4 linked regions of the Pelodiscus sinensis genome follow. The protein of the gene in region 1 purifies or fractionates together with the protein of each later gene. This does not show direct contact. Links are inferred from orthologs where the notes say so. Each region holds a gene or a part of one and is shown in the gene's direction. Other genes may lie near its edges.

Region 1 (6,867 bases):
GGTACTGGGGGCTGGCTTGCCACTGAACTGCCTGGCAATGTGGGTCCTGGTATCCCAGATAAAGAAGTCCATCGTCCTCTCTGTCTATATGTTGAACCTGGTGGTCGCTGACCTACTGCAGATCTTGATGCTACCTTTCTGGATCTACTACAGCTATTTGGATCACAACTGGGTTTTGGGGCTCAAGGCCTGCCTGGCAGTCAGCTGGGGCTTCATCACCAACTTTTATGCCAAGAATGGTTTCCTGTGCCTCATTGCTATGGAGCGCTACATAGGCCTGGTCCATCCCCTTGAGTTCCGGAGGCTAAACACAATATGTGGTGCCACCAAGGTCAGTGCCATGGCTTGGGGGCTGGTGCTCAGCGTCTGTTCCGTGGGGATTGGTCTACTGCTGAAGAATCTAGAACCAGAGCGCTGCAATGAGGGTTATCCACTGGGGAGGTCCTATGCATATTTTAAGATGGCCACCATGCCTTTGTCCTTTTTCCTACCTTGTTTCTTCATGGGCTTCTTCTACCTTCGGGTCCTGCACAAGCTCAGGCAGGTGCCATCACTGGATCAGGAGGAAAAGCAGCAAATCTACGGATTCATTTCCCTCATCATCATCTCCTTCTTCCTGCTCTGTGTGCCTTACCAGGTGACCTCCCTCTACAAATACCAGAGAGAGAGGCTTCCATACGATCAAGACAGCCAACTCTGCCTCTTTGAAACAAACCTCTTCTTTTACCATCAGGTAGCGCTGTGCCTTACCACACTTGGCAATGTCTTGGATCCTCTGCTGTACATCCTGCTCCTTAAAGATGTGCGGAAAGAAATTGGAAATCACTTGTATTGCAAGGTCTTGGATCGGGGGCAGTCACAAGTAGATTAAGGCAAGAATGGAAATATTAGGTGGACACTGGTTCAGACTGATGCATAAGATACCCAGTGAGGTGGTGGGAATCCATTTGGATGTCAAGGTCCCTGCATCGGACCAGGGATTGGCCTTGTTCTCTGCTTCCCTTTTATGAAGCAACTCTGCCCCTGTAACCACAAAGAAACATGAAGGGAAACATGATCCCTCCAGGGACTTCTATTCACTCAGAACCTCTTGGAGAAGTACCTTAGAGACAGGTTGAGTTGAGCCACAAAATAATAATAATTAGATTGGTTCATGAATACTACATATTAGGTCTTTTTGCATTTATGGTTAGAGCTCTAGTTTTTCACAGCAATCAGGGACCTATCGTGATCTTTTAAATAAACAGTAAGTCTCATGGAAACATATAATCTCAAAAGATGGGCCTTTAACATTTAATATTTTGAGGCTATTGATAATATTGGGAAAGGTAGCAACATTGGATGGGCACATGATGAATTAACACAGACCACTAGACTAGGCTCTAGGATTGGATATAGATGGATAAGAACAGGTAGTGCCAGAGTTACCCACGGGGAAGATCTTATGCACATTTTAAGACAGCCACCATGGCTTTGTCCTTCTTCCTGCATTGTTTCTTCATGGACTTTACCTCCAGGTCCCACATAAGCTGAGGCAGGTACCATCATTTTAAAAGCTGGACCTTTAGCATTTAATGTTAGCGTGGAGAAGAAATTCATCCAAACTTACAGGATATAGAGACATAGATCTTTGCTGGTGAAAAAAAGACCTACTCTCCACAAAGGGTGAAAGGTAAAGAAATCGTGCCCACAGGGGAAAAGGAGAGAGACCCAGAGCAAGCAAAAAGCTGTAATTTAACCATGATGGGACAAAGAGAAAGGTCACTCATGTCTATGCTACATTCCCACTTAGTTCTGAGCAACAGAGATATGAGGAATTGTCTACCCGTCTGGTGGGCCACATGTGGCACATCTGGGTTCTATGTGTGCAATGTGGCAGGCAGGGTCCTCTGCCCCAGGGAGGTCCTCTCGCTCCCCGTCGTCCCGACGCCCACTTGGGCATGCCCCAGTGTTCTCCCTGGCTGGGAGGACACTGATCCGTCGGCCAAATCTAATCAGGTGACAGTCTCTCACAACACTCCAATGTTGCAGGCCTGCTCGGCCCGCTGGCAGCTGGGGGAAGGTAGGGGGGCTCGGGCCCACCCCCTCACCCAGCCCTGGCCCAGGGCCCTAAGGCCCAGGATTCAATTCACTGGTCAGGTTGGTGGGGTTGAGACCCTTAATGCACCAACCCTTCCAAAGCCCTGGGCCACTTCTTCCTTCTCTCCTGCTTGCTTCCCACCGCTCCGTCTTGCCACCCCTTTCTGCAGCAGGGGCGCTTCTTTTGAACATCCGCTGACAACGTGGCCAACACTGGGAGGGCCGTGCCGCCACTCTCGGCCCCTCTCTCTTCCTGGTCCACGGCGTACTGGCACTGGCAGGCGTCGCCAGTCAGCAGCGTGTCCGTGCATTCGGTGTCGGCTAGGAGCGCCCCTGCAGCTTCTCCCCTGCCCACTGAGGAAGGTGCTCTTGGCAGGTGGGGTGATGGAGCATCCTCCTGCTGGTTGCCAGCCGCTGCGGAGCATGTGCAGCAGAGCCAAGTTCAAGCTGGTGCCACCTCAAGTGGGTCCTGGTCAGCTGCCGTTTCCTGTTACAGCAACCTTCTATCAGGGAAATACCATTAAATATTCCAGTCTGAATAAATTCCAGGTCACTAACCTCTGCTTATTGACACTGACCACCTCCAGAGAGAGGATTTCATGCCCTGACTGGAGTTGCCTCCCTCCTGTGCTCACCAAAAGCGTTCTCCTTTACTGCTGAACCTGTGTCCTCCTGGAACGAGCTGCATGATGTGGTGATGGAAGTCTAGGGTGAGTGAAACCAGGCAGTGCTGCGGTGGGAGTGAGCCTGGGGGCATGTCAGAACCGAGAGCACACGTGTTGTGGAGCCACGAGGACGGCTGCAGGGGACACGGCTCAAAGAAACCCACTGAGCCCAGCATGTCTTTTGTGCATGCGTGCGCTGAGCAGCTGGCCCCTCATCCCTTGGGGGGGCACTTCTGGTCCGACCCGAGTGCCTCTGTCTCACAGCCTGTGCGAAGGGCAGTAGCTCCCCCAGGAGGACGCGTTGCTGGCCTCCCCCCGTGCCTGGGGGGGGTCTCAATGGAGCCCCATGAAGCGCGTGTGCAGCCCTTGCCCAGTGGAGTGGGACCCACACGGTGTAGCAAGGGGCTCAGGAGGGGGCAGCGGGCACAGGACCCACCTGAGCCCTTGCCCCGCCCCGTCAGCTCCCCCAGACCCCCCTTCTCCTCCCGCCCCGTCAGCTCCCCCAGCCCCCTCGTGGACCTAGCCCCGACTGGCGCCAGCGCGCGCAGCCCTCAGCCTCGCGCTCGCTGCTCGCCCCTCCCACCTGGGCCATGACCCGCCTTCCGGCTCAGCAATGGCAGCGTCAGGACACCTAATCGTCATCCCCGCTGTGACCAATGGGAAATTCCGCCACCAGGGAGCTCTTCCAATCACACACGCTAGAGCCCGCCTTTTCCTCCATTGGGTCAGCTAACAGTTGAGAGTTGATTAACATACACAGTAGCCAACCAGTGCGGAGAAAACTAGAGTGGGGTCGGCTAAGAAAAACCTTTAACCAATCATAGGGACCCATGAGCTAGGGCGGGGCCGGAGGAGCTGCTTCTCCAATCAGAATGGAAAGATTGTAATAGAGACGGGGAAAGAATGACAGGCCAATCAGAGTGGACAACTGAAGTAGGGCTATGAAGTGACACGTTCTTCAGCCAATCAGTATCTTTATTTCCGTCCCGTTAAGGCGCAAGGGGCACAGCCCAGTCCTGGACTCGCCCTCATCCTCTCTGCTCTCATTGGCCTGTACTGTGATCGACGCCATTGCTAGTCAATCATTGCTGAGACAGGTTTCGCGCCCTCCAATGGGGGAGTGTGGGGGCGGGCACCGCTTAGCCCGGGGCTGCGCGGCGCAGAGGGCGGCGGGACGCCATTTTGTGAGAAGCTCGGCGTGAGGCGGCTGCCGCGAGCTGGGGAAAGCGACGCGGAGCCGAGCGGGGTCTAGCGGTGAGTGAGCGGGGGCTCCACACCCCGGGACTGGCGCGGGCCGAAGGAGGGTGCACACACCCCTCCCCCTCGGGAATGGCGCGGGCCGAAGGGGGGGGGGAGGGTACACACACCCCTCCCCCTCGGGAATGGCGCGGGCCGAAGGAGGGTGCACACACCCCTCCCCCTCGGGAATGGCGCGGGCCGAAGGGGGGGGGGAGGGTACACACACATCCCTCCCCCTCGGGAATGGCGCGGGCCGAAGGGGGGGGGGAGGGTACACACACCCCTCCCCCTCGGGAATGGCGCGGGCCGAAGGAGGGTGCACACACCCCTCCCCCTCGGGAATGGCGCGGGCCGAAGGGGGGGGGGAGGGTACACACACACCCCTCCCCCTCGGGAATGGCGCGGGCCGAAGGGGGGGGGGGAGGGTACACACACACCCCTCCCCCTCGGGAATGGCGCGGGCCGAAGGGGGGGGAGGGTACACACACACCCCTCCCCCTCGGGAATGGCGCGGGCCGAAGGGGGGGGAGGGTACACACACACCCCTCCCCCTCGGGAATGGCGCGGGCCGAAGGGGGGGGAGGGTACACACACACCCCTCCCCCTCGGGAATGGCGCGGGCCGAAGGGGGGAGAGGGTACACACATCCCTCCCCCTCGGGAATGGCGCGGGCCGAAGGGGGGGGGGAGGGTACACACACCCCTCCCCCTCGGGAATGGCGCGGGCCGAAGGGGGGGGGGAGGGTACACACACCCCTCCCCCTCGGGAATGGCGCGGGCCGAAGGGGGGGGGGAGGGTACACACACCCCTCCCCCTCGGGAATGGCGCGGGCCGAAGGGGGGGGAGGGTACACACATCCCTCCCCCTCGGGAATGGCGCGGGCCGAAGGAGGGTGCACACACCCCTCCCCCTCGGGAATGGCGCGGGCCGAAGGGGGGGGAGGGTGCACACATCCCTCCCCCTCGGGAATGGCGCGGGCCGAAGGAGGGTGCACACATCCCTCCCCCTCGGGAATGGCGCGGGCCGAAGGGGGGGAGGGTACACACACCCCTCCCCCTCGGGAATGGCGCGGGCCGAAGGGGGGGGAGGGTACACACACACCCCTCCCCCTCGGGAATGGCGCGGGCCGAAGGGGGGGGAGGGTACACACACACCCCTCCCCCTCGGGAATGGCGCGGGCCGAAGGGGGGGAGGGTACACACACCCCTCCCCCTCGGGAATGGCGCGGGCCGAAGGGGGGGGGGGTACACACACCCCTCCCCTCGGGAATGGCGCGGGCCGACGGGGGGGGGGAGGGTACACACACACCCCTCCCCCTCGGGAATAGCGCGGGCCGAAGGGGGGGTACACACACCCCTCCCCCTCGGGAATGGCGCGGGCCGACGGGGGGGGGAGGGTACACACACACCCCTCCCCCTCGGGAATAGCGCGGGCCGAAGGGGGGGTACACACACCCCTCCCCCTCGGGAATGGCGCGGGCCGAAGGGGGGGGTGCACACACCCCTCCCCCTCGGGAATGGCGCGGGCCGAAGGGGGGGGGAGGGTACACACACCCCTCCCCTCGGGAATGGCGCGGGCCGAAGCGGGGGGAGGGTACACACACCCCTCCCCTCGGGAATGGCGCGGGCCGAAGCGGGGGGAGGGTACACACACCCCTCCCCTCCGGAATGGCGCGGACCGAAGGGGGGGAGGGTACACACACCCCTCCCCTCGGGAATGGCGCGGGCCGAAGGGGGGGGAGGGTACCCACACCCCCCTTCCCCCGGGAATGGCGTGGGGGGGGTGGCATACATGTTTTTTCCCTTTTCTGTTAATGGCGGTGCCCTGGAGGAGGGGCCATTTTGTCGTCCCCCCCCCCCACCCTACCCTCCAACAGTGGTGGTGGGGAATCTGCCCTTTTTTCGGGGAGGCCCATGCAGGGAATTGTGAGGGGGAATGGTGCTGCCCAATCTGAAAACCTCCAGTGCAGTGGTGGGGGGCAGTGAGGGGATGACTGACAGTGTGAATATCCTGCCCCAGGGGACATGCCCCTGGGGGGTGGAGAATGGTATGTCCAAGGATAACTCTCCTGGTTTGTGTTCCCTGCTCTCTCCCCTTGCAGGAGGAGGGGAACTAGACACATGACCCATGGCTGTGGGTGTCTAGACTCTGGCTCCCCTGCCTTTGAGCTTAGTGGCAGGAGTCACTCAGGAAGTCAGATGTGTCTGAGGTAGTTTTGGGGCTGGGGCAGAGGGTGTGAACTGCCTCCATGGTCAGAAACCGCTGTCCCCATGCACGCTTTGTCAGGTCCACTTGCAATGGTACCTGCGTGGCAGGGATCCTGGGAAGGGCAGCTAGCCCCCTTATTACTAAGGCCTTAAGAAATTCATGGTCCATTTGGGCCGATTTTATGGTCACAGGATTTTCAATAATTCTATGGTCCTAGCCCAAAAAGGAGTTGTGGGAGACAGGTTGCAAAGTTATTGAAAGTGGGGTTGTGATATTGCTGCCCTTATTTCTGCAGCTGCAGAGCCCTAGCTGGGAGCTCTGTTCTCAAGGCATCACATACATAATGGTGGCAATATTATGACCCCCTAAAATGTATAACCTCCCTGCAATTACCAGGACCCCCAGTTTGAGAAACACTGGTCTTCCCTGTAAAATCTGCATAGAATAGGGTAAAAACCCGGAGCACCAGATTTCATGGGGGGCAGGGAGGGGAGGACAAAGCCAGATTTCTTGGTCCTTGATGCATTTTTCTTGGCTGTGAAGTTAGTAGGGCCCTATGTGTTACCTCTGATTCAAAAAGAAGCTCTGTATGGTCTCTGGGCACAAACATCACTGTAGTTAGGGATTTGAGCAGCTAGTGCAAATGTCCTGTGTCAGGCTTTGCCTGGAAGGCACC
Region 2 (7,362 bases), on another chromosome or scaffold:
GGGAGGTGACACTGGAGAAAGCAGGTTGACCTTCTTTTAGGTCCAGGTCAGGCCTAAAAATTAGGCCTGAGCACAATTCTGTGGGGCAGAGGAGTGGGGTGGAGGGGGGTGGGGCTTTTCCTCATGAGGTGGTGTGGGCCCCATCTAGGCACATGCCGGGGACTGGCTGGCTCAGGGAATGAGGCCTGGAGCTGCTGGCTCGAATCATGACCCAGCTTGTCAATTTTACCCCTACAGTTCTGGAAAAGGTCTGACGCTGGGGGGGCGGGTGCTGTGCCGATTGGCCATACAGGCTGCTAGAAACTGTGCTGATTGGCCATCCTGGCTCGATCTCCAACTGGAGGGCGGGGTGTCTGGATCCTGGACCCAACCTGCCTGCCTGCCTTGCCTTCCTCACCTCCCCTGCCCTGAACTGCTCCCCTCAAATCCACGCCGCATACAGATCCCGCGTCACTTAGAGACCAAACCTGACCCCCCCCACCCCGCTCCTCCTCCTCTCCCCCCACACCCTGCTCCGTCACCTGCTAATGCCGCCCTCACCCCGTGCCCAGGGCAGTGTGGGTACTGACTCCATCTGCTCCCGCCTGGCACCGATGAAAGCACTAAATTGGGTGCCTCACCCTGCCCCCCTCGCAGGGTTTTCATTGAGTTCCTCCGTTCCCTGGTTTTTTTTGGGGGGGGGGGGCGATTTGTCCCTCCCCTGCACCGCGGCCCCGAGCTGCTGGCCCTGTATGTGTACGTGAGTGCAAGGGGCGCCAGGCCGGGACGCCCCTTTTAATTCCGTGTAACAAACTCTTCTCCACCGTGCCTGTTCTTTCATGCCCTCTCTATGTTTAAAAAAAAAAAAAAAAAAGAGAAAAGAAAAGAAAAAAAAAACTACAAAAATCAATTTATTAAGAGAATTTAAATTAAAAAAAAAAAGAAAATTTGGAATAAATCAAGGCCTGAGTCTCATTTACTTATCAAAAGTTTCCCTTGGGCCTAAAAACAGGCGCCTCTGGGGTGGGGTGCAGAGACTGTTTCGATGGAGACACTCGTGTGGAAATGCGACCAGCTCTGGGGTGGGTGCTCTATGGAGAAACCCCTCACCGAGTGCTGGAATGCAGCTGCCTCTGGAGTAGGGCATTGGGGGCTTTTTATACCATAACCTCTCACCTGGTATGAGTCAGACTCTCTGGGCCAGGAGCTATTTCGCGAGGGACCCCCTCCTCTGGGGCTGAGATGTGGTCTGATTGGGTGCAGGGGCTGTTCTTACAGGGCCCCACTGCCTGGTGCAGAGGGGGTCCACGGAAGTGATCTCGTGCTAAGCTGGCCCAGTACCGTGTGAGATGGGCACGTTGGGCTGATCTTCTGTCCCAGAGCGGTGCCGTCGGCCCACGCTCCCCAAATGGGGCTGGTGGAGCACGAGGGAGAGAGCCCCTCCCCCCCGAAAGGGGCTGGAGTGAAGATGGACAGAGGCCCGCGTACACACAGGGCCCATCTTGGCCCAGACCTGGGATACCCTGTCCCCTGAACCTTTCTGTGCCATGGCCCGGAATCCCTTTAGACCTCAGGAGCCCCCCACTCAAGCCAGAGGAGTTCTCCAGCCACCTTGGACTGGCCCCCTAGAATAAGAGGCTGGTATTTCAGATAGGGTGGCTATATCCCTTTAGCATGGAAGGGTGGGGTCGTGCTGAAAGAACAGAACTCCGGGAGAGCAGTGGGGTCTAGTGGTTACAGGCGGGCCTGGGAGCCAGGACTCTGGGGTTCTCTCCCTGGCTCTGGGAGGACAGTGGGGTCTAGTGGTTACAGGCGGGCCTGGGAGCCAGGACTCTGGGGTTCTGTCCCTGGCTCTGGGAGGACAGTGGGGTCTAGTGGTTACAGGCAGGCCTGGGAGCCAGGACTCTGGGGTTCTGTCCCTGGCTCTGGGAGGACAGTGGGGTCTAGTGGTTACAGGCGGGCCTGGGAGCCAGGACTCTGGGGTTCTCTCCCTGGCTCTGGGAGGATAGTGGGGTCTAGAGGTCCAAGCAGGCTGCTCTGAGAAAAGCCCTGGGAGGAGAGCCATGATTTTGGGACCTCAGGAATGATGATTATGGGCCCCTGCTGTTCCTCCTTACACTTGGGGCTGCCTCCTCCATGGATTCGGACAGTGCCTGGTACGAAGAGGCCCACAAAGACCTCCACTCCATGGCCCCTCCCCATCCGTCTCTGGGGGGCGCTTTGGAACGCTGCATCTCACCCCCGTGAACTCCAGGCATCCGTGGGCAGCTGTTTAGTGACTCTGACCGGAAAAGGGACACGGTCCCTGGCCTATGGTCCCTACAACCTGGATGCTGAGCTCCGTTAGCCAGCTCTTTAAATGCAAAAGGGAGGCTGGCTGTGGGGGTCTGGATTTAGGGTGTGGGTGTCTAGGGCCCCATCTGGGTAGGGGCTAGATGGGATTGGGGAGAAGTGACTCTGTTGGGTGGCCTATATAGGGGGCTGGGTAAGTGAGGGGCAGGGGGCCAGGCAAGGGATTATATTTAGTTGTGTGTGGGGGGGTGAGGTAGGGTTAGGGAAGGAGACAAAAGGCTCAACTTGAGGGTGGGTATTGGCTTGATGGGGGAGGGCAAGAGGATGGGATGGGGGGAAGGGTACCACTGGGGAGATGTGGCCTGCCTTGGGAGGCGAGGGGCTGGTGGGGGTAAATACACAGGTAAACCTGGCTCCACCCACCACATCAATGCTGAATCAATGCACAGACCTGCATCTTCCAAGCACAGAACCAGGCTGGAGGCGCAGATCAGATGTTTACATAGGAGTTGGGACACACCGTGGTGCCTCAGTTTCCCCACATTTGTCTCTTTCGACTGTAAGAACTTCAAGGGCAGCAACCAATGCAACACAGGCCTCCACCCTATGGAGACTATGGGGTGGCTAAAGGGAAGTTATGGGACTCAGATGAGGGAAGTTGTGGAATGTCTGGCTAGTGGGGGCTTCGGGGGTGACAGTGGGGGACCGTGGGTAGCTAAAGGCAAATTATGAGGCTGCTGTGAGGCACAGGGTGGATGTCTGGAGTAGTGGGGACTACTGGGCTCAGTAGGGCTATGGAATGTCTGGGACAGTAAGGCTCAATAGGGGGCTAGCAGGAAGTTATGGGGCAAAGGCTGCCAGCCCACCAGGATTATCCTGGAGTTCCCAAAAATGGAACATTATCAGAAGATGAAACCTCCAGGGATGAGCAACCCTTTATAGGGTGGGGGGGGGGGGGGGTCTATGAGGGTGGGAGTAATTGAGGAATTATGCTTTGCTCTGTGGGGCTATAGGGGACTGGGAGGGGCTCAGTGAGGTGGTTATGGAGACAGGGTGACCATGGGGCTGGGAGGGGCTCAGTGAGGAGGTTATGGGGCATGATGCCCATGGGGGCTGGGAGGGGCTTAGTGAGGGGGTTATGGGGGTAGGGTGACCGAGGGGCTCAGTGAGGGGGGCTATGGGGCAGGGTGACCATGGGGCTGGGAGGGGCTCTGTGACGGGGCTATGGGGGTAGGGTGACTGAGGGGCTCAGTGAGGGGGGCTATATAGGGCAGGGTGACCATGGGGGGGCTATGGGGCAGGGTGACCATGGGGCTGGGAGGGGCTCAGTGAGGGGGTTATGGGGGTAGGGTGACTGAGGGGCTCAGTGAGGGGGGCTATATAGGGCAGGGTGACCATGGGGGGGGCTATGGGGCAGGGTGGCTATGGGGCTGGGAGGGGCTCAGTGAGGGGGCTATGGGGGCAGGGTGACTGAGGGGCTCAGTGAGGGGGGCTATATAGGGCAGGGTGACCATGGGGGGGGCTAAGGGGCAGGGTGGCTATGGGGCTGGGAGGGGCTCAGTGAAGGGGCTATGGGGCAGGGTGACTATGGGGCTGGGAGGGGCTCAGTGAGGGGGCTATGGGGCAGGGTGACTATGGGGGGGGCTAAGGGGCAGGGTGACCATGGGGCTGGGAGGGGCTCAGTGGGGGGGGCTATGGGGCAGGGTGACTATGGGGCTGGGAGGGGCTCAGTGAGGGGGCTATGGGGCAGGGTAACCATGGGGCTGGGAGGGGCTCAGTGAGGGGGGCTATATAGGGCAGGGTGACCATGGGGCTGGGAGGGGCTCAGTGGGGGGGGCTATGGGGCAGGGTGACTATGGGGCTGGGAGGGGCTCAGTGAGGGGGCTATGGGGCAGGGTGACCATGGGGCTGGGAGGGGCTCAGTGTGGGGGGGGGGGGCTATGGGACAGGATGCCCATGGAGCTGGCAGGCCATCAATGGTGATGGGAACCTAGGAAGCATGGAGGGGGCGGGGCTCTAGGGCAGTTGTGGGGCTTATGGGAGTGGGAGGAGCTGCCCTTTGCCCCCATACGCCATTTCCGCCCCCTACCGGAAGTGGCCTCTTTCTGGCCCCTTTCCCTGCGACCGCGCGCGCTCTCCTCTCTCGCGGCCGGGAAGGCGGAAAGAGCCGAAGCCCCCTCCCCCCGTCTCCGGCCGCAGCCGAAGCAGCGTTGCGAAGAGGCGGGAGGGGAGGGCGGAGCCGAGGAGCAGGCGGAATCTTCCGAAGCCGCGGCCCGGGCGTGGGCGGAGTCTCCGCGCAGAAGGAGCCCGGAGAGTCCCCGAGCGCGGGGCGGAAGGAGCCGAGCGGCGGCGGAGATCCCCGAGCGCGGGGCGGAAGGAGCCGAGCGGCGGCGGAGATCCCCGAGCGCGGGGCGGAAGGAGCCGAGCGGCGGCGGAGATCCCCGAGCGCGGGGCGGAAGGGGCCGACTGTCGGCGGAGCTCCCCGAGTGCGGGGCGGAAGTAGCCGAGCGGTGGCGGAGATTGCCGAGCACGGGGCGGAAGGGGCCGAGCGGCGGCGGAGCTCCCCGAGCGCGGGGCGGAAGGGGCCGAGCGGGAGGCGCCGCGGCCTGTGCGGGAGCGAGGCGGGGGCCGCGATGTCCGACTTCGACGAGTTCGAGCGGCAGCTCAACGAGAACAAGCAAGGTGGGGGCGGGGCGCGGCCGGGCCGGGGCCCCCGGGGGGCCCCGTAGCGTGCGGGGGGGGGGGGCGCTTCCCGTCCGTCCCCGGGGCCCCCCCCGCCCCATAGCGCCCCCCCGGCCAGCCCCATGGATTCCCCCCGCCCCCTAGCGCCTCCTTGGCCAGCCCCATAGCGCCCCCCCGGGTTCCCTACTGCCCCATAGCGCTCCCTAGGGCTTCCCCCCGCCCCATAGCGCCCCCCCCAGGTTCCCTACTGCCCCATAGCGCTCCCTAGGGCTTCCCCCCGCCCCATAGCGCCCCCCCCCCAGATTCCCTACTGCCCCATAGCGCTCCCTAGGGCTTCCCCCCGCCCCATAGCGGCCGCCCCCAGGTTCCCTACTGCCCCATAGCGCTCCCTAGGGCTTCTCCCCCGCCCCGTAGCACCTCCCAGGCCAGCCCCATGGCCCCCCCCCCCCGGACTCTCTCGCCACAAAACGCTCCTCCCCGCCAGCCACATGGATACCCCGTGCCCCATAGCGCCCCCCCGGGCTTCCCCTCCCACCCCATAGCGCCCCCTGGCTAGCTCCCTAGCTCCCCCTGCACTACAGTGTGCTCTCTCAGGCTCCCTACCACACCATAGGGGCCCCCCCTCCACCCCACGTTTTTTCCCCCCACCTCCACAGATTCCCGCCCCCGTAAACCCCCTCCCCCCTCTGATCCAGTCCTATGGATTCTTCTACCCCATAGTTTCAAGGTAGTCCCATGGGCTTCCCATCTAGGTCTTCCGCTAGCCCCATGGACCACCCCCCCTATACTTCATCTCCTAGACCCTCCCCAGCCCAGAGACCCTTAGCTAGCCCCATAGATTCCCTGCCCTTTCGGCCTCCCAGCCATCCCCAGAGATCTCCTGGTCCATGGCTCCCCCCCACTCCCTATAGTCCCCTGCTTCTATAGATTCCTAGCAAGCCTCATTTCTCCCCTACCCCATAGACCCTGCATGTTTTACCCTTTTTGAGCCTCTCCCCCATGCTATAAAAACTAGCCAGCCACTTCTGCCCCCATAAGTGGTTTTTTGCATCTAAAAGCCAGGGTTGGAGTTAGGGCAGTTGCCTGCAGCCCCATGGCACTGGGCCCACATGAAACTATATTGTCCCGGGGGCAGGGCTCAGGTCCCTGGATTTCATTCTCATGCAGCAGGGCTTCATACTAGGCCCTAGCTAGTCTAACATTGGCCCAGCTTGCCCCCTGAAATTTGCTTGTACCACCCCATTGAGAATCACTGCAGGACCCCCACCCCCTGTTCCTCAGCCTGCCCCATAGCTCTTATTCCCCTAGTCCCAATAGCCATGCCTTTAGCATCCCTTCTCCTAAGCACCCCCTTTCGCACCCTGCTCCATAGTCCCCTTCCAGCTCGTGGCCCCCAACCTTTGAGTGCCTCTTACGCCCCCCCATAGCCTTCCAGCTGGCTACCCTTTACCTCCCCACAGCTTCTCCATCCTCCGCTTCCCCTTTCCTCTGCCAGTGCCTGTCTGCCTGCCCCATAGCAGTGCCAGACCCCATGCTCCTGCTCCACCTGGCCCCCAGCAGCACCCCAACCTGTGCTGGTGCCCAGAGCTCCCTGCCCGCTTCTTGAGCACCTGCTCCCATTTGTCACCACCTCCCAGCCTGCCCCTGATTGCTCCCAACCCGCCAGCTTTCCCTGTGCCCCACTCAATCCCCACAGCCCCCTCCCTGCTGCCCCTTTGCCGGCAACCCCCCCCTCCTCCCCCAGGCAGCCCCTGCTTCTCCTGCCTAACCTTCTCCACCCTGTATCCATCCCCTTGGGCAGAGACGCTGAATTTTGATTATTAATTGTAGCAGGCTAGGGAGAGGTTGAAACATGTGGGTGTGCTCCCCCCCCCCCCCCACTAGGTGGCGGGGTGGGAGAGAGGGGCAGGAACACCTTCCCCCACTCCCGGCAGCCTCAGGCCCCTCCGTGGGGAGAGAGGGAAATCCAAGTTATCCCCTTGTGGCCGTCGTCCCCTCCTGGCAAATAAGCCCCAAGGGGTGAGGGGAGGGGCAGGTATCACCCTACCATGGGGCACCCCAGGGCTTAATGTCTGGATGCTGGGGAGCGGCAGCCAGAGGCAAGTGTTTGGAGCCAGGTGTGAGTCTCTTGCCCGTAATAGAATTGGGGGTGGATGCCCTGCTTGGAGCTTTCAGAGGGAAAAACCCCTCTGAGGATCCAGACCCGGGACCTGCATAGGTTTAAAATCCCTTGTGTGGCTGGGAGATTGATCCTCTCTGTTGCCTGTGGAAGGAAGCACATGGGACATCCTGCTGTGGTGTAAAGCGGAGTCTGTTCCAGCACCATTGCTGTCCGCCGAGCCCCTATGCAAACAGCAGAAGATTGTGTTTTGGGAGCTAGCTTACGTCAAAGTGCAGCGTGGCTCCAGA
Region 3 (7,386 bases), on another chromosome or scaffold:
GATTAATGCCCACAAAACAGATATCAGACAAGATCACAAAGAGAAAACAGTTTCTTGCCACTTTAACCAGAAAGGACACTCTCTAAATGACTTAGCCACCTGCATTCTGCTACAAAGACCTTTTACATCTGCACTTGAAAGGGAATCCTCTGAACTGTCATTCATGTTAAAATTCGACACTTACCAACAGGGACTTAACAAGTCTTTGAACTTTCTCACCCATTACCAAGACAGTTTCCCCAATTATCACCTGTAATACCATTAACTCACAAACATCCCACTCTCCCTACCTTTAATATCAGCAATTCACAGACACTTACCTTCCTTCCTCCCCCTTCCCACCCCCCCGCATCCCCCTTCTGTTCTGCAATGTGATTTGTCCTTTTCATATTTGTTCATTTTTTTAAATTCTATCCTTTGGTGTATATATGGTTGTGACTACTTTCTTCCACTATTTGATCTGAGGAAGTGGGTCTGGCCCACGAAAGCTCATCATCTAATAAACCATCTTGTTAGTCTTTAAAGTGCTATATTGTCCTGCATTTTGCTTCAACTACCCCAGACTAACACGGCTACATTTCTATCACTACTCATGATTTCAAAAATCCTGACCTGTTCATTGGAGAGGGTGACTGATCAGTGTGCTAAATAGTGCATAGCAGGCCATGGATTTTAGGGTGCCCTCTTCTCTCTCCCTTGCCAGGTAGGCAGATTGGAGTGCTACACTCTGTATCGGAGGAAGCATGCCTCATCTCACACCTCCTTCCTGGAAACACTTCACTTCAGGGACAATTTACAATTCACAACCTTTTTACACTAATTTTATGGACAAAATAACACTTATGGACTGCTCACCTTGATAGTGTTACTATTCATACTAATAAACTGGAACCACATACAACTGCCACAAGGAGGGAGAGAGAATGTGTGATATCTGCGCAACACCAAGAACATACATGTACTTGGGTCTCTAGCATCCTGTCACCTTGCTTCTCTTCCAGAGGTTTCTATTAGAGCACACTAGGAATTCAAGTCTTGCTCAGTCTGGGAGGTGTTCTGTACCAGGGGACATACACTTTCCACAGAGCTGGCTAGAAAGGGGAATTTCCATCCTGCAGAAAATACCAACATTCTGAAATTTGTTTGGGAACAAAAAGTCAAGTTTTTGAACCTTTTCACAGCATGGAAATTCCAAAAAAAGTTTGATTCAGAACATTTTGTTTTTATAATGTTGAAACATGTTAGACATATATTTAACGTAGAATATCAAAATGAATGAAATCCAGGAAATCAAAATGAAATATTGGTGCCTTATTGAAACAACATATTTGGACTTCACATCAAGCAATCCAAAATAATCTGACACTTGGCTATTGAAAATGTACCTGTTCCCTCAAAATGGTTTTAGACTAGTGGACCCCAACCTTTTGGGGCTCCCGGGTGCCAGGGGGTGGGGCCATTCATTGTGCCAGGCGCACAGGGGCGGGGCTGCATATGTGCCCGGGGATGGGGCCACCCATACGCCATGCGCCTGGGGTTGGAACAGCCCATGCGCTGCATGCCTGAGGCTGGCGCCGCTCCTGTGCCGCGCGCCCAGGAGCCGGTAGTGCCTATGCACCGCGCGCCTGGGGCCAGCGCTGTTCCTATGCTGCACGCCCAGGGGCGGGGATGCCCGTGTGCTGAGGGCCAGGGGCGGAGATGCCCGTGTGCTGAGGGCCCCGGGGCGGGGATGCCCGTGTGCTGAGGGCCCCGGGGCGGGGATGCCCGTGTGCTGAGGGCCCGGGGCGGGGATGCCCGTGTGCTGAGGGCCCCGGGGCGGGGATGCCCGTGTGCTGAGGGCCAGGGGCGGGGATGCCCGTGTGCTGAGGGCCCCGGGGCGGGGATGCCCGTGTGCTGAGGGCCCGGGGCGGGGATGCCCGTGTGCTGAGGGCCCCGGGGCGGGGATGCCCGTGTGCTGAGGGCCAGGGGCGGGGATGCCCGTGTGCTGAGGGCCCCGGGGCGGGGATGCCCGTGTGCTGAGGGCCCCGGGGCGGGGATGCCCGTGTGCTGAGGGCCCCGGGGCGGGGATGCCCGTGTGCTGAGGGGCAGGGGCGGGGATGCCCGTGTGCTGAGGGGCCAGGGGCGGGGATGCCCGTGCGCTGAGGGCCAGGGGCGGGGATGCCCGTGTGCTGAGGGCCCCGGGGCGGGGATGCCCGTGTGCTGAGGGCCCCGGGGCGGGGATGCCCGTGTGCTGAGGGCCCCGGGGCGGGGATGCCCGTGCGCTGAGGGCCAGGGGCGGGGATGCCCGTGCGCTGAGGGCCCGGGGCGGGGATGCCCGTGCGCTGAGGGCCCCGGGGCGGGGATGCCCGTGCGCTGAGGGCCCCGGGGCGGGGATGCCCGTGTGCTGAGGGCCAGGGGCGGGGATGCCCGTGAGCTGAGGGCCCGGGGCGGGGATGCCCGTGCGCTGAGGGCCCGGGGCGGGGATGCCCGTGTGCTGAGGGCCCGGGGCGGGGATGCCCGTGTGCTGAGGGCCCGGGGGGGGGATGCCCGTGTGCTGAGGGCCCCGGGGGGGGGATGCCCGTGTGCTGAGGGCCCCGGGGGGGGGATGCCCGTGTGCTGAGGGCCAGGGGCGGGGATGCCCATGTGCTGAGGGCCCGGGGGGGGGATGCCCGTGTGCTGAGGGCCCGGGGGGGGGATGCCCGTGCGCTGAGGGCCCCGGGGGGGGGATGCCCGTGTGCTGAGGGCCCGGGGGGGGGATGCCCGTGCGCTGAGGCCCCGGGGGGGGGATGCCCGTGTGCTGAGGGCCCCGGGGCGGGGATGCCCGTGAGCTGAGGGCCCGGGGGGGGGATGCCCGTGCGCTGAGGGCCCTGGGGGGGGGATGCCCGTGTGCTGAGGGCCAGGGGCGGGGATGCCCGTGTGCTGAGGGCCCGGGGGGGGGGATGCCCGTGTGCTGAGGGCCCGGGGGGGGGATGCCCGTGTGCTGAGGGCCCCGGGGCGGGGATGCCCGTGCGCTGAGGGCCCGGGGGGGGGATGCCCGTGCGCTGAGGGCCCGGGGCGGGGATGCCCGTGTGCTGAGGGCCCGGGGCGGGGATGCCCGTGTGCTGAGGGCCCGGGGGGGGGGATGCCCGTGTGCTGAGGGCCCGGGGCGGGGATGCCCGTGTGCTGAGGGCCCGGGGCGGGGATGCCCGTGTGCTGAGGGCCCGGGGCGGGGATGCCCGTGTGCTGAGGGCCCGGGGCGGGGATGCCCGTGTGCTGAGGGCCCGGGGCGGGGATGCCCGTGTGCTGAGGGCCCGGGGCGGGGATGCCCGTGTGCTGAGGGCCAGGGGCGGGGATGCCCGTGTGCTGAGGGCCCGGGGGGGGGGATGCCCGTGTGCTGAGGGCCCGGGGCGGGGATGCCCGTGTGCTGAGGGCCAGGGGCGGGGATGCCCGTGTGCTGAGGGGCCAGGGGCGGGGATGCCCGTGTGCTGAGGGCCCGGGGGGGGGATGCCCGTGTGCTGAGGGCCCGGGGGGGGGGATGCCCGTGTGCTGAGGGCCCGGGCGGGGATGCCCGTGCGCTGAGGGCCCGGGGCGGGGATGCCCGTGTGCTGAGGGCCCGGGGGGGGGATGCCCGTGTGCTGAGGGCCCGGGGGGGGGATGCCCGTGCGCTGAGGGCCCGGGGCGGGGATGCCCGTGTGCTGAGGGCCCGGGCGGGGATGCCCGTGTGCTGAGGGGCAGGGGGGGGGGATGCCCGTGTGCTGAGGGCCCGGGCGGGGATGCCCGTGTGCTGAGGGCCCGGGGCGGGGATGCCCGTGTGCTGAGGGCCCCGGGGCGGGGATGCCCGTGTGCTGAGGGCCCGGGGCGGGGATGCCCGTGCGCTGAGGGCCCCGGGGCGGGGATGCCCGTGTGCTGAGGGCCCCGGGGCGGGGATGCCCGTGTGCTGAGGGCCAGGGGCGGGGATGCCCGTGTGCTGAGGGCCCGGGGCGGGGATGCCCGTGTGCTGAGGGCCCGGGGGGGGGGGATGCCCGTGTGCTGAGGGCCCCGGGGCGGGGATGCCCGTGTGCTGAGGGCCAGGGGCGGGGATGCCCGTGTGCTGAGGGCCCGGGGCGGGGATGCCCGTGTGCTGAGGGCCCCGGGGCGGGGATGCCCGTGTGCTGAGGGCCCGGGCGGGGATGCCCGTGTGCTGAGGGCCCGGGGCGGGGATGCCCGTGTGCTGAGGGCCCGGTGCTCAGACTCGGGCCCACTGGCGGCCCCCGAGCGGGATCGGGCCCTCGCGCAGGCGCCCCAGCTCACCGCGGCTGTGGGAACTTTGCGACGCTCCCTGGCCCGCCCCGGAAGCGATCCCCGCGCTCGCTGGGGCGCGCCGCACGCTAGCGGGGGAGGGGGCGGGGCGCGCCGCTCCCGCCGCCCTTTGCCCCGGAAGCAGCTCGCGGCGGGCAGGAAGCCGGAGCGGAGGGGCCGGCCGGAGGGAAACGCTTCTCGGCGCCGCCGCGGCCTCTGCCCAGCGCCGCTCCCGCCCCGCCCCGCCCGGCAGCATGTCGCGGAGGCGCCACAGCGACGAGAACGATGGTGAGCGCGGGGCGGCGGGAGCTCTCCGCAAGGCGGCGGGGCCGCGCAGCGCGCTCCCGGCGGGCGAGGGGCGCGCGCCTCGGTCCCCATCCCCTGAGGCCGAGCGGCCGTTACGGGCCCCGCGCGCCGCCCGTCGCTTCCCGCCCCCGCCCTTGGCGCACAGGCCGCGCGTGCTGCTCCGGCTCCTCAGACAGCCCCCCCCGCCCGCGCCTGGGATGGGACAAGCCGCCGCGAGTCCGCACGAGCCTTCCCCTCGGTCCCTGCGCGGCTCGGTCACTCGTGTCTGGAGCCACGGCCTCAGCTGTGGGGGAGGGCCCGGGTTGGGGGGTGGGAAAAACCATTTCCCTGGGGGGGGGGAGCGCTGGGCTGGGTTCCCTAGGGAGGCAGTGGAGTCTCCATCCCTAGAGGTGTTTGTCTCGGCTTGACACAGCCCTGGCCGGGCTGATTTAGATGGGGTTGGTCCTGCCTAGAGCCGGGGGCTGGACTTGACCTTCTGAGGTCTCTGCCGGCTCTGGGGTTCTGTGATTCTATGTCTTCAGAGCCTCCTCGGGCTGGTTACGTGCCGGGGTCTGGGCACCGCATTTCAAGAAAGATGTGGAGAAATGGGAGAGGGTGCAGAGAAGAGCAACAAGAATGATGAAAGCTCTAGAGAACATGAGCTATGAGGGAAGGCTGAAAGAACTGGGCTTGTTTAGTTTGGAAAAGAGAAGATTGAGGGGGGACATGATAGCCGTTTTCAGGTGTCTAAAAGGGTGTCACAAGGAGGAGGGAGAAAACTTGTTCATCTTGGTCTCAGAGGATAGAACAAGCAGCAATGGGCTTAAACTGCAGCAAGGGAGGTTGAGGTTGGACATTAGGAAAAACTTCCTGCCTGTCAGGGTAGTTAAACACTGGAATAAATTGCCCAGGGAGGTTGTGGAATCCCCATCTCTGGAGATATGTAAGAGTAGGTTAGATAAATGTCTATCAGGGATGGTCTAGACAGTATTTGGTCTTGGCAGGGGACTGGACTCAATGACTTCTTGAGTTCCCTTCCAGTCCTAGTATTCTTTGATTATACCCCTTTAGTGCTGTATGCCTGCAGCCCAGACCAGCTCTGTGAAGACCTGGTGTTACCCTTCACTGACAAGGAACGCGCATTTAGGAAGGCTTTCCAAGCTGCAGGGGTTTGCTCCCACTTCTGTTCTACATGCAGCTACTAGGCAAACCTGTGAGATGCCTGGATTCAAGTACCAGATGAGTCAGCTGTATGCAGTGAAGAACAGGTAGAGCCATGCTACTATCACCAAGGTAGCCCAGTGCTTTGACATCAGCTGATATGTGAACAGCTTTCTGAAGCTGAACTCAGGCAAGACTTGAGAGCAGTCAAGTTGGGGAATTTGCAGTCCCAGGGCAGTCAGCTTTTGTTAAAAGTCCTCAACTGATCACGTCAGTCTGCAGATCAGCAATGCTCTTGGGTTCCTTGCTAGCACACCAATACTGATGTGATATAGCTGGACATAAAACCATCAATCTGCCTAATGCAGACCACTGCAACAAAGGCTACTGGGAGCACGCTGAATTGTTCTGAACTCTACATTGACTTTTTAGAGAGTATTACATCAAGGTCTCCATTTTTATCTTGAAGGTGCTTAATGATCTGTGCCCAACATGTCTAAAAGATCAGCTAAAATTCTGACATGAGGACTAGTCGACAGCTTCACTCCCTTAACACAATAGAATGTACTATCATAAGGGAAAGTTCATCTCTGCAGGTGGCAGGCTTTCTCAATGGCCAGTTCCAGGCTGGTCACCAAACTCCCTAGGGAACAAAGCACCAACACAAACTTCACCACCTTTGCATCAGCTTCAAGGGGCACTATTTCCACCTTGCCTTCTCCACCATCTGTACAGCAGGGTGCAGCTTTACTAAAACAAAGGATAATTCATGTACAGCTTTTCCTCTGGGAGATGGTGAAAAAATGAACCACATGTGATAGCTGTCAGTCATGTCACTTAGTGCCTTGGTGATGACAGTATGATAACATATATGTATATAAGAGATGCACCTTTGAGGGTATATATAGTTCATTTGATGCAATTCTAAGATAGAAAATCTACTCTTTTACGGCCAACATTTTCAGCTCTGACCTTCAAAGATAAATTCAGTCATTTAGAATTCAACTACATCTGCTCTTAAAAGGTCTTTATCGCTTGTTTGCCTAGTCTTTTTTCCAAAATACAAAATCTTTACAGGTTGAATCTCTCTAGTCCAGCACTCTTGGGACCTGACTGGTGCTGAACCAGAGAATTTGCTGAATCACAAGAGGTCAGTATTGTCTAGCAGAATTACCAACACTGCCACGGCTAACTAAAATCATGCCGGACTACGGATATTGCTGGACTAGAGAGATTCAACCTGTGAGTAAAAGGCTACCTGAACCTCCTTGCTCAGGCATTTTCTCATGTTATCTTTGGTGCCAGATAATCCCATGTGCTACTTCAGATGAGCTGTACCTAAGTACTACTAATTCTATAATGTGTGTGTAACTTGCATTATCAGTGGTACGCACGTAGTATCTTGCTACTTTAGCAGAAATGCACTTCCAAAAACATCTTTCAAATAAGAAAGTAAAAAGGATTTGATTAGCGGTGAACAAAATCCTAGAGAGTACAAGGCTACAGAAACTGAGTATGTTTTAATTACTCTTAGCTTTGTTTTTCATGTTTTGTTGGGTCTGTTTAAAATAAACACTTGAGTATCTTTTTGGTCCTTTTTATTATTGTACAGAACTGGCACATGGGCTGAGGCTGACAGAATTGTTCAAAAACATTTTTAAAGCTGTTGAGTTACTAACTGGCATTCTTGGTTTTATTACTGTA
Region 4 (6,978 bases), on another chromosome or scaffold:
AAGTAGTATAGGGTATACAGAGACATAACTTTGATACTTGGCCTGGTTCCAGAGATTCTGCCTTGTGTTACCTTTAATAACTTGATCACACCCATAAAGATGAAATTTGTATGGGATATATCTAGAACTCTGTAATAACCAGCTGTGTATGTAGACAGTTGACCTGTTTATCATGAAGCTTTATGGTTCTTCCCAAACAACCACAACCCTGATAGCATTACTGGATATCAGTGTGTAAAGAGGGAATGGACAGCTTTATGGAACATTTGCATGTATAGTGAGGATGAAGATAAGATGTACATGTCTATAATAGGTGATAGAGTTTATTACAGTGGATAGACTGGGCGCTTGCCAGTAATATTTGTAAGAGTAACATCTTTCACTTCTTACGCAGCATTTTTGTCTATACGTCTCACATAAAGGAAGGACAGTATCATTTTCTCCACTTTACAGTTGAAAAACTGAAGCAATGAGGTGAAGAGATGTATTGTGTGTGTGTGTACAGGTGGGTGGAAAGTGATGGTGAGTAGTAAAAGTATTTTTACTACTGTGAGTAGTAAAAGTACTACTGTGAGTAGTAAAAGTACTACTGTGAGTAGTAAAAAGTATTTTAAGGTGGATAGTCTGGTTTGGATAGTAGTGTAAATACATACACTGAATTTGGAGGATGTCAATCGTCCATGTGTGTATAAGATGGATAGTATTATGGGATGCTGATGTGTATAATGAGAGGTGTATTATGGGATGTATGCTCATGGCTCATGTCTACACTATGGAATTTTTCCGGGATCCCAGAAAAACTCCGCCACATCCAGGGAACGCGTCTGCTCTTCTGAATTCTTTTTCGGAAGAGCAGATGCGCTCTTTCGGAAGCCCTGTATTCCTCATTTTATGAGGAATAAGGGCACTTCCGAAAGAGGAGGTTTTTCCGAAATTTGGCCCAGTGTAGATGGGCCAAATTTTGGAAAAGCCTCTTCCGAAAAAAGAATTGGAAAAAAAGTGTAGGGTAGACATAGCCAGAGTGAAGAGAAATGGATAGCAGTATGGGGTAACTATTTCACAGGGGAAGGGGGAATAGACAGAATTGTAGGATGACTATAACAAAGAAAAGATCGTATTATGAGATGGCTATGTGTACTAGAGAGGCTTCAGTGGTATCATGACCAGGGCCGGCCCGAGCCCTTTTGGCACTCTGGGCCTGGGCGCGCGACACCCCCCTCCCCGGGCGCATGGCGCATGCGCTGCCCAGCCCAGCCTGGTGTGTGCTGCTGGCGCGTGTGCCAGGCTGTGCAGGGCCCCACAGCCGTGAGGGCAAGGGCACTGCTGGCCAGCACCGTGGGGCTGGCACTGCGGAAGCCGGGCACACGGCGCCTGTTGTCAGCTGTAAGGGACGCCGCGCGCCTCTTACAGCTGCCATCAGGCGCTCCTCATCGGTTGGCGCCCTGTGCAGCTGCCCGGCTCGCCCATGCCTTCGTTCGGCCCTGATCATGAGGTAGCTGTGTTTATAACAATAGATGGATACTGTTGTGGGAGGTGTGTGTATGTAACAAGGGGTTTGGATAGCATTATAGAATATCCATGTATAATAGAAAATGAGTAGTATTAAGTGATGTTCATGTGTCTACTGGGAGGAATGGACAGTGTAGGACAGAGGTGAGGAAACTTTTTTGAGCCAGGGACCACTGACCCACAGAAAAATCAATCGGGGGCTGCACACAAATGAAAAGCAACCCCCCCCAAAAAAAACAAAACAAAACAAAAACCCCTCACTCACATGGCCCCAGACTAAGAAGGTGAAAGATACTCCCCACATTACCATTGCATGCCAGAGCCTAGAGGGATGCAGGCTAGCAGATTTTGTATGTTCCAGCCCACGATGAGGCAGTGGGGGAGCTTGAGCACAAGGCGCTTGGGCGGCCCCGGCCCCGGCCCCGGGGCACATGCCGGCGCCGGGTGCAAGGGCATCCCCGCCCCTGGCGTGCCCCAGGACGCGCGGCCCCGCCCCCGGGCGCCTGGTGCGTGAATGGCTCCACCCCCCCGGGTGCCCGGAGCGTGAGTGGCCCCCCCCCCAGGCGCCCGGGAGCCTCTAAAGGTTGGGGACCACTGAAATACAGTATTAAGGGAAGGACATGAGATGCCTGTGGTTACAATGGGGTGTGTATATACTGTAAGATGTCCATATGGATAATGAAAAGAACGGATAGTCATATGGAAGTCTGTATATAACTGGGATATGGATACCTCTAATGGAAGGGTGGATAGTGTTATGGTCTCTGTGTGCACATAAATAGGGATGGGTGCTATTATGGGATTTACATGTGTATAGTAAGGGATTATTAGTGATTGTATTATGGGATGTTGGTGTGTTCAACAAAGGGGAGGACAATACTATGGGATATCCATGTGTATAAAGGAATGGTTAGATAATATATTAATGTGTGTAATGGGATAGAATAGATATTATTAGGGCATGCAAGGATTGTAATATGGGATGTCTGTATATATAATGATGTGAATAATCTTATGGGATGTCCATATATACATATACACACAATGGGAAGGACACAGTTATAGAATAGCTGTGTGTTTTATAAAGAAGGACAAATACCATTAGGGGAAGTCCATGTATAAAATGGAAGGGATAAAGATACTATTAAGTTTATACCATGAAGATGTATATCATTAAGAGATGGACATGTCTAATATCTGGGAGTGGGAGGTGGATAATGCCTGACCTTGGTAGGATGTTTGAGTCTCAGAGTTGTTCACATGGATTGTTCTTCTGTTCTGTAGGATGGCATTCCTTAATGGGGTTTATATGTAGGATTGAATGCTTGATTCACTTTTAAAAGTGGGGTGAACATCATTATTATGGGATGTCTGGCTAGAGGCTGATTCCAGTGAATATTATGGGCTACCTGCCTGAGTGTGTGTTTGGGAGGGGGGTGTTGATCATTATGGGATACATTGAGTGTATCATCTGGAGGAACAAAGAAGCCTGGCAGTCTGTGCCAGAGTATTATGGGATGCATGGCTGGCCCTGTGCCCCCAGTGGTTATTATGGTCTGCGTAGATGGGAAGTGGGGGTGGGGCGAATGGTGAGTATGTATCGTGAGTATTATTATTAGATTTTCTGAGGAGGGATTGGTAGGTAGTACTACAGGATGCTTGTCTCCATGCTTGAGTACTGTGGGCTATTCAGATGGCACCGGTGCCTTCTGGTCTGTCTGGGTAGAGTGGGGGGGGAAATACATGAATGTGATTATTATGGGCTGCCTGGCTGGAGTGGGGGAGCAAGCAGTCAGTGGGAGTATTGTGGGTTGTGGCTAAGAATCGCTGAGAGTATTATGGGATGTCTGGCTGGACAGTGGCTCCTGGCAACTATTATGGGATGTCTGGCTGAGAGGGGAGGATGAGAAGGGCGACTATTATTATGGGATATCTGTCTGGGGTATGACTATTATGGGATGCTATGGGGGCTGTTATGGAATGTCTGGGGGGGGAGTTGTAGAGGGAGTAGTGCTTATTATGGGATGCCAGGTTGGACAGTGAGTGTGTGGTATTAGGGGATATTTTAACAAGGCAGGGGGATTATGGTAGGATGTCTGGACGAGGGAGGGGGGAATGGTATGGGGAGGAGAGATATTATGGGATACTGGGGGTGAGAGTGGATGTCAGAGTGTGTGGGGAGAGTACAATTATTATGGGATGTCTCTGTGAGGGAGAGGGAAGGGGACTATTATGGCATGTTTTAGCAAAGGAGTAATATTATGGGATGTTTGAGTGAGGGGGTGAAGTGTGAGGAATATTATGGGATGTTTCTCAGAGGGAGGGGTGTATTATGGGATGTTCCTGCTGGGAGGGGTGATTATTATGGGATGCTGGGCCGGCCAGTGAGTAGGGAGTTCTAAAGGGAGGGCAAGTATTATGGGATGTCTCAGTTAGGGGGTTGCCAGGGTGACGGGGGCGGACCCATTGCCGAGGTGTCGGGACATATTATGGGCTGGAAGCGGGAGCGGGGAGGGGCCTGGTCGGGTTTTTTCCCCTTTAAGAGGTGGTGCTGGAGCGGGGGCCATTTTCCCTTCAGCGGCGGCAGCGAGAGCGAGGAGCCGGGGGCGAGCTGGGTGAGGAGAGGGGCAGGGACCGGACACAACCCCCAACATCGCTTCAAAGGGCAGGACGCGGCGCTGACCCCTCGTGGCGGCGCCCCCCGGCCCCGGGAGCTGCCCTTCCCCCCGGCTCCCGGGGGCGCCGACCTCGGCCCGGCCGCCTTGTGTCCCCGCTGGGCACGGAGCGGCCGCGGCGCCCGGGGACCCTCCTTCCCCGGCGCTACCTCGCCCCGCCCGGGGAACGGCCCCGCTCCCGCCGCCGCCTCGCGCTGCCCGGGGCCGCCCCGCCCGCCCCCCGGGACTGGCCGCGCGCCCCGAGCCGCAGCTGCGCCCGCCCCCCGCCAGGAGCCCGGCTGGCCGCGTGCTGCTGCCGCCCCCTTCCTTGTGCGCGGGGGGGCGGGCTCGCCGGGAGCCCGCGCGGCGCCTGCCACGGGCTCGCCTTTGTTTTGCCTGCGTGAAAGCGGGCGGGGGGCGGCTCCCGGGGGCGTGGTGGGGCCCCTGGACCGCGCGGCTGTGGCTGGTCCTGCCTCGCCGGGTCCGTGGGGCGGGGGCACGTGGGCCCCCGGCACTAGAAAGGGTTTTGGTGGGGGCCCGGTGGGGAAGGGGGCGGCTGCGACGCGGGTCTCTCGCACCGCTAGGAGCCGGTCTTCCTTGGAGCTTTCCCTCCCGTCCATTGATCGCCAGCTCGAGGCAGGGAAGACTTTGCAAAAGCGAGTTTGGCTGTTCCTCAAACACTTGTTCCCTGCTGCACCCGCCGGTAGCTCAGCCGGGGCTGACTCCCTGGAGTAGTAAAGCCACAAAAGTTGGGGTGAGGGGTCATCAAGAGCAGCTTTGACGAAGGTGTTAACTGCCTCGAATTAAATGGTGACCGATTGACTTAAAAGCCCCCGAACTCCATGTAGCCATGCTCTACTGCACCGGGGCTAGTCTGGCGTCATGTCAGAAAGGGTTTGGAAACTATCATCGGACTGCCATTTGGTGGCCCTTTGCCTGCAGTCCGTTCCTGACAGTTTAATTCCCAGTAGACACAAAACTGCCCCCATCAGGACCCTCAACTAGTGCCCAATCTCAGCATTTCCATTCTTCTCTACTCCTCCCTTATTTGGGGGGCGAGCAGTTCTAAATTCCATACTGATGTTTTTTAAAGCCTTCTAATGTAGGTCATCCATTGGGTAACATTATTGTATGGGAACGTGGGTTCGTGCTGACTATCAAAGTTAACTTTTTTATGCTAAGTTACTGGCCTGACTGGCAAGGAGGAGACAAGGCTGCAGAAGCTGTTGGAGCCCGGGTACCCCAGTTTGGAGGACATGGCATCGGGCATTGGCTCCCCGTCCCCTTGTTCTGCTGGCAGTGATGATGAGGAGATGGAGATCCTGCTGAATAACAGCATTGCCCAGCACCAAGGTATAGGTAGGATGCCCAGGGCTACCGTTGTAAAAAGGAGTGGTAGTGGGTCTATCAGTTTTATTGAATGGGTGATGCATGTAAATGATAAGTTTTGTTTTATTAAGAGCCCAGGTGATTAGAATATTTTGGTTTCTTTATTGTGGCCTTTTTAAAACCTGTGGTCTGCACACCTTGGTGAAGTAGAAATTATTTTATTCAAAGCTAGTGCAGGCTGTTGGCAATCCATCTGACAGGGAGTCTGGTTTTAATGGGGCATGTGTGTTGCCAGCAAGGTGTATGTACCATGGCTGGGACTGGAACCAGTATGTGGGAGGGCAAGGTGTCTGGCTTTCCTCTCATCCATCTGGGAGCTCAGACCTGCTGACAGTCCAGAGGAAACTGCCTTGGGCTATTGCATGACCCACTTTTTGTTCACCACACCCTACTCTCCAAGCTTCCCATGGATCATTCTACACTGTTCACCTTAGCCCCTGTTTTTGTGTTTTGTATCAGTAGCTTGCCTGTGCACTTCACTTAGTACAACTGCTCTCAGTCAGGGATCCAGGGACCCCTGGGGGGCTGTGAGTAGGTTTCAGGGAGTTTACTAAGCAGGGCTGGCACCAGATTTGCTGAGATCCAGGATGGAAAGGCAAAGCCCCACTGTATGGGGCAAAAGCCTGGGCCATGGACCCTACCATTTGGGACTGAAGCCAAGCCATCTTAATTTCATGGTGGCCCCCTCTAGCACAGGGCCCTTGACAGTTGCCCAACTTTCTACCCCCTAATTCTGCCCTTGGCTTTATATGTTAAAAATAGGTTGTGGCATGGGTGGAGCTTTTATAGCATGGTGTGTGTGTGGGGGGGGGGGGATGGACACTCCAAAGAAAAAAGTTAAAAATCCCTGCCTTAGTATTTGCCTCTTCAGGCCTCATACCTGGCTTTCACTGTAACTGAAGTCTCTGTCTGAGAATCTGAATCAGGTTAGAGCCCTGGATGCTGAAAGTCAGTTTTCAGGTTCTATTCCCAGATCTGTTGCTGACTTATATGGATGTACAACTCATTTTGCAACAGTGTAAAATAGGAGTTTGAGAAAGGAACTCTAAAATCATCCCTACCTCGTACATAGGCGTCTGAGTCTGGGGCAGGGAAGTCACTTAGGTCCCTGGCTCTTAACCAGGGCTATGCCCAGGGTATGCATACTCCTAGGGGTATGCTAAGGTCTTCTATGCAATATGTTAGCTCACTTAGATCAGAGGTGGGGAGATTAAGGCCTGAGGCCTAAGGCTCCCTCCCAGCATTGGGGAGCCCATGCTGATGCTGTAGGCCTCCTGCAGAGCTGGAGCACACACCATCTACTAGCCTGGGCCCCCAAAGACTCTGGTGTGTGAGGAGGATGTGGGGAATGTTTTTCTCCTTCTTAGTTAGGGGCCATATCAGAGAAGGTGTTTTGGGTTTTTTTGATTCGCACTTGTGTGCAGCC

Evidence for each region.
Region 2: the proteins of HNRNPC (region 1) and U2AF2 fractionate together in Homo sapiens (co-fractionation; 3 studies listed by BioGRID, with this or other methods). This does not show direct contact. The link is inferred for Pelodiscus sinensis from reciprocal best matches to the Homo sapiens genes HNRNPC and U2AF2.
Region 3: the proteins of HNRNPC (region 1) and NCBP1 purify together in Homo sapiens (co-immunoprecipitation; 3 studies listed by BioGRID and IntAct, with this or other methods). This does not show direct contact. The link is inferred for Pelodiscus sinensis from reciprocal best matches to the Homo sapiens genes HNRNPC and NCBP1.
Region 4: the proteins of HNRNPC (region 1) and CHD4 purify together in Homo sapiens (affinity purification with western blotting; 3 studies listed by BioGRID, with this or other methods). This does not show direct contact. The link is inferred for Pelodiscus sinensis from reciprocal best matches to the Homo sapiens genes HNRNPC and CHD4.

Annotation. Positions count from the first base shown.
Region 1 is NW_027465841.1:161,169-168,035, reverse strand, and holds the start of HNRNPC (heterogeneous nuclear ribonucleoproteins C1/C2), read left to right. Parts: upstream 1-3,859; 5' UTR 3,860-3,998; intron 3,999-6,867. Other genes in the region: G-protein coupled receptor 4-like, read left to right, coding at 1-871. UniProt on the Homo sapiens protein: Binds pre-mRNA and nucleates the assembly of 40S hnRNP particles. Interacts with poly-U tracts in the 3'-UTR or 5'-UTR of mRNA and modulates the stability and the level of translation of bound mRNA molecules. Single HNRNPC tetramers bind 230-240 nucleotides.
Region 2 is NW_027465849.1:3,175,600-3,182,961, reverse strand, and holds the start of U2AF2 (splicing factor U2AF 65 kDa subunit), read left to right. Parts: upstream 1-4,355; 5' UTR 4,356-4,904; coding exon 4,905-4,953; intron 4,954-7,362. UniProt on the Homo sapiens protein: Plays a role in pre-mRNA splicing and 3'-end processing. By recruiting PRPF19 and the PRP19C/Prp19 complex/NTC/Nineteen complex to the RNA polymerase II C-terminal domain (CTD), and thereby pre-mRNA, may couple transcription to splicing.
Region 3 is NC_134716.1:345,950-353,335, reverse strand, and holds the start of NCBP1 (nuclear cap-binding protein subunit 1), read left to right. Parts: upstream 1-4,490; coding exon 4,491-4,524; intron 4,525-7,386. Other genes in the region: TSTD2 (thiosulfate sulfurtransferase/rhodanese-like domain-containing protein 2), read right to left, coding at 4,249-4,492. UniProt on the Homo sapiens protein: Component of the cap-binding complex (CBC), which binds cotranscriptionally to the 5'-cap of pre-mRNAs and is involved in various processes such as pre-mRNA splicing, translation regulation, nonsense-mediated mRNA decay, RNA-mediated gene silencing (RNAi) by microRNAs (miRNAs) and mRNA export.
Region 4 is NC_134711.1:138,730,553-138,737,530, forward strand, and holds the start of CHD4 (chromodomain-helicase-DNA-binding protein 4), read left to right. Parts: upstream 1-3,968; 5' UTR 3,969-4,124; intron 4,125-5,345; 5' UTR 5,346-5,419; coding exon 5,420-5,522; intron 5,523-6,978. UniProt on the Homo sapiens protein: ATP-dependent chromatin-remodeling factor that binds and distorts nucleosomal DNA. Acts as a component of the histone deacetylase NuRD complex which participates in the remodeling of chromatin.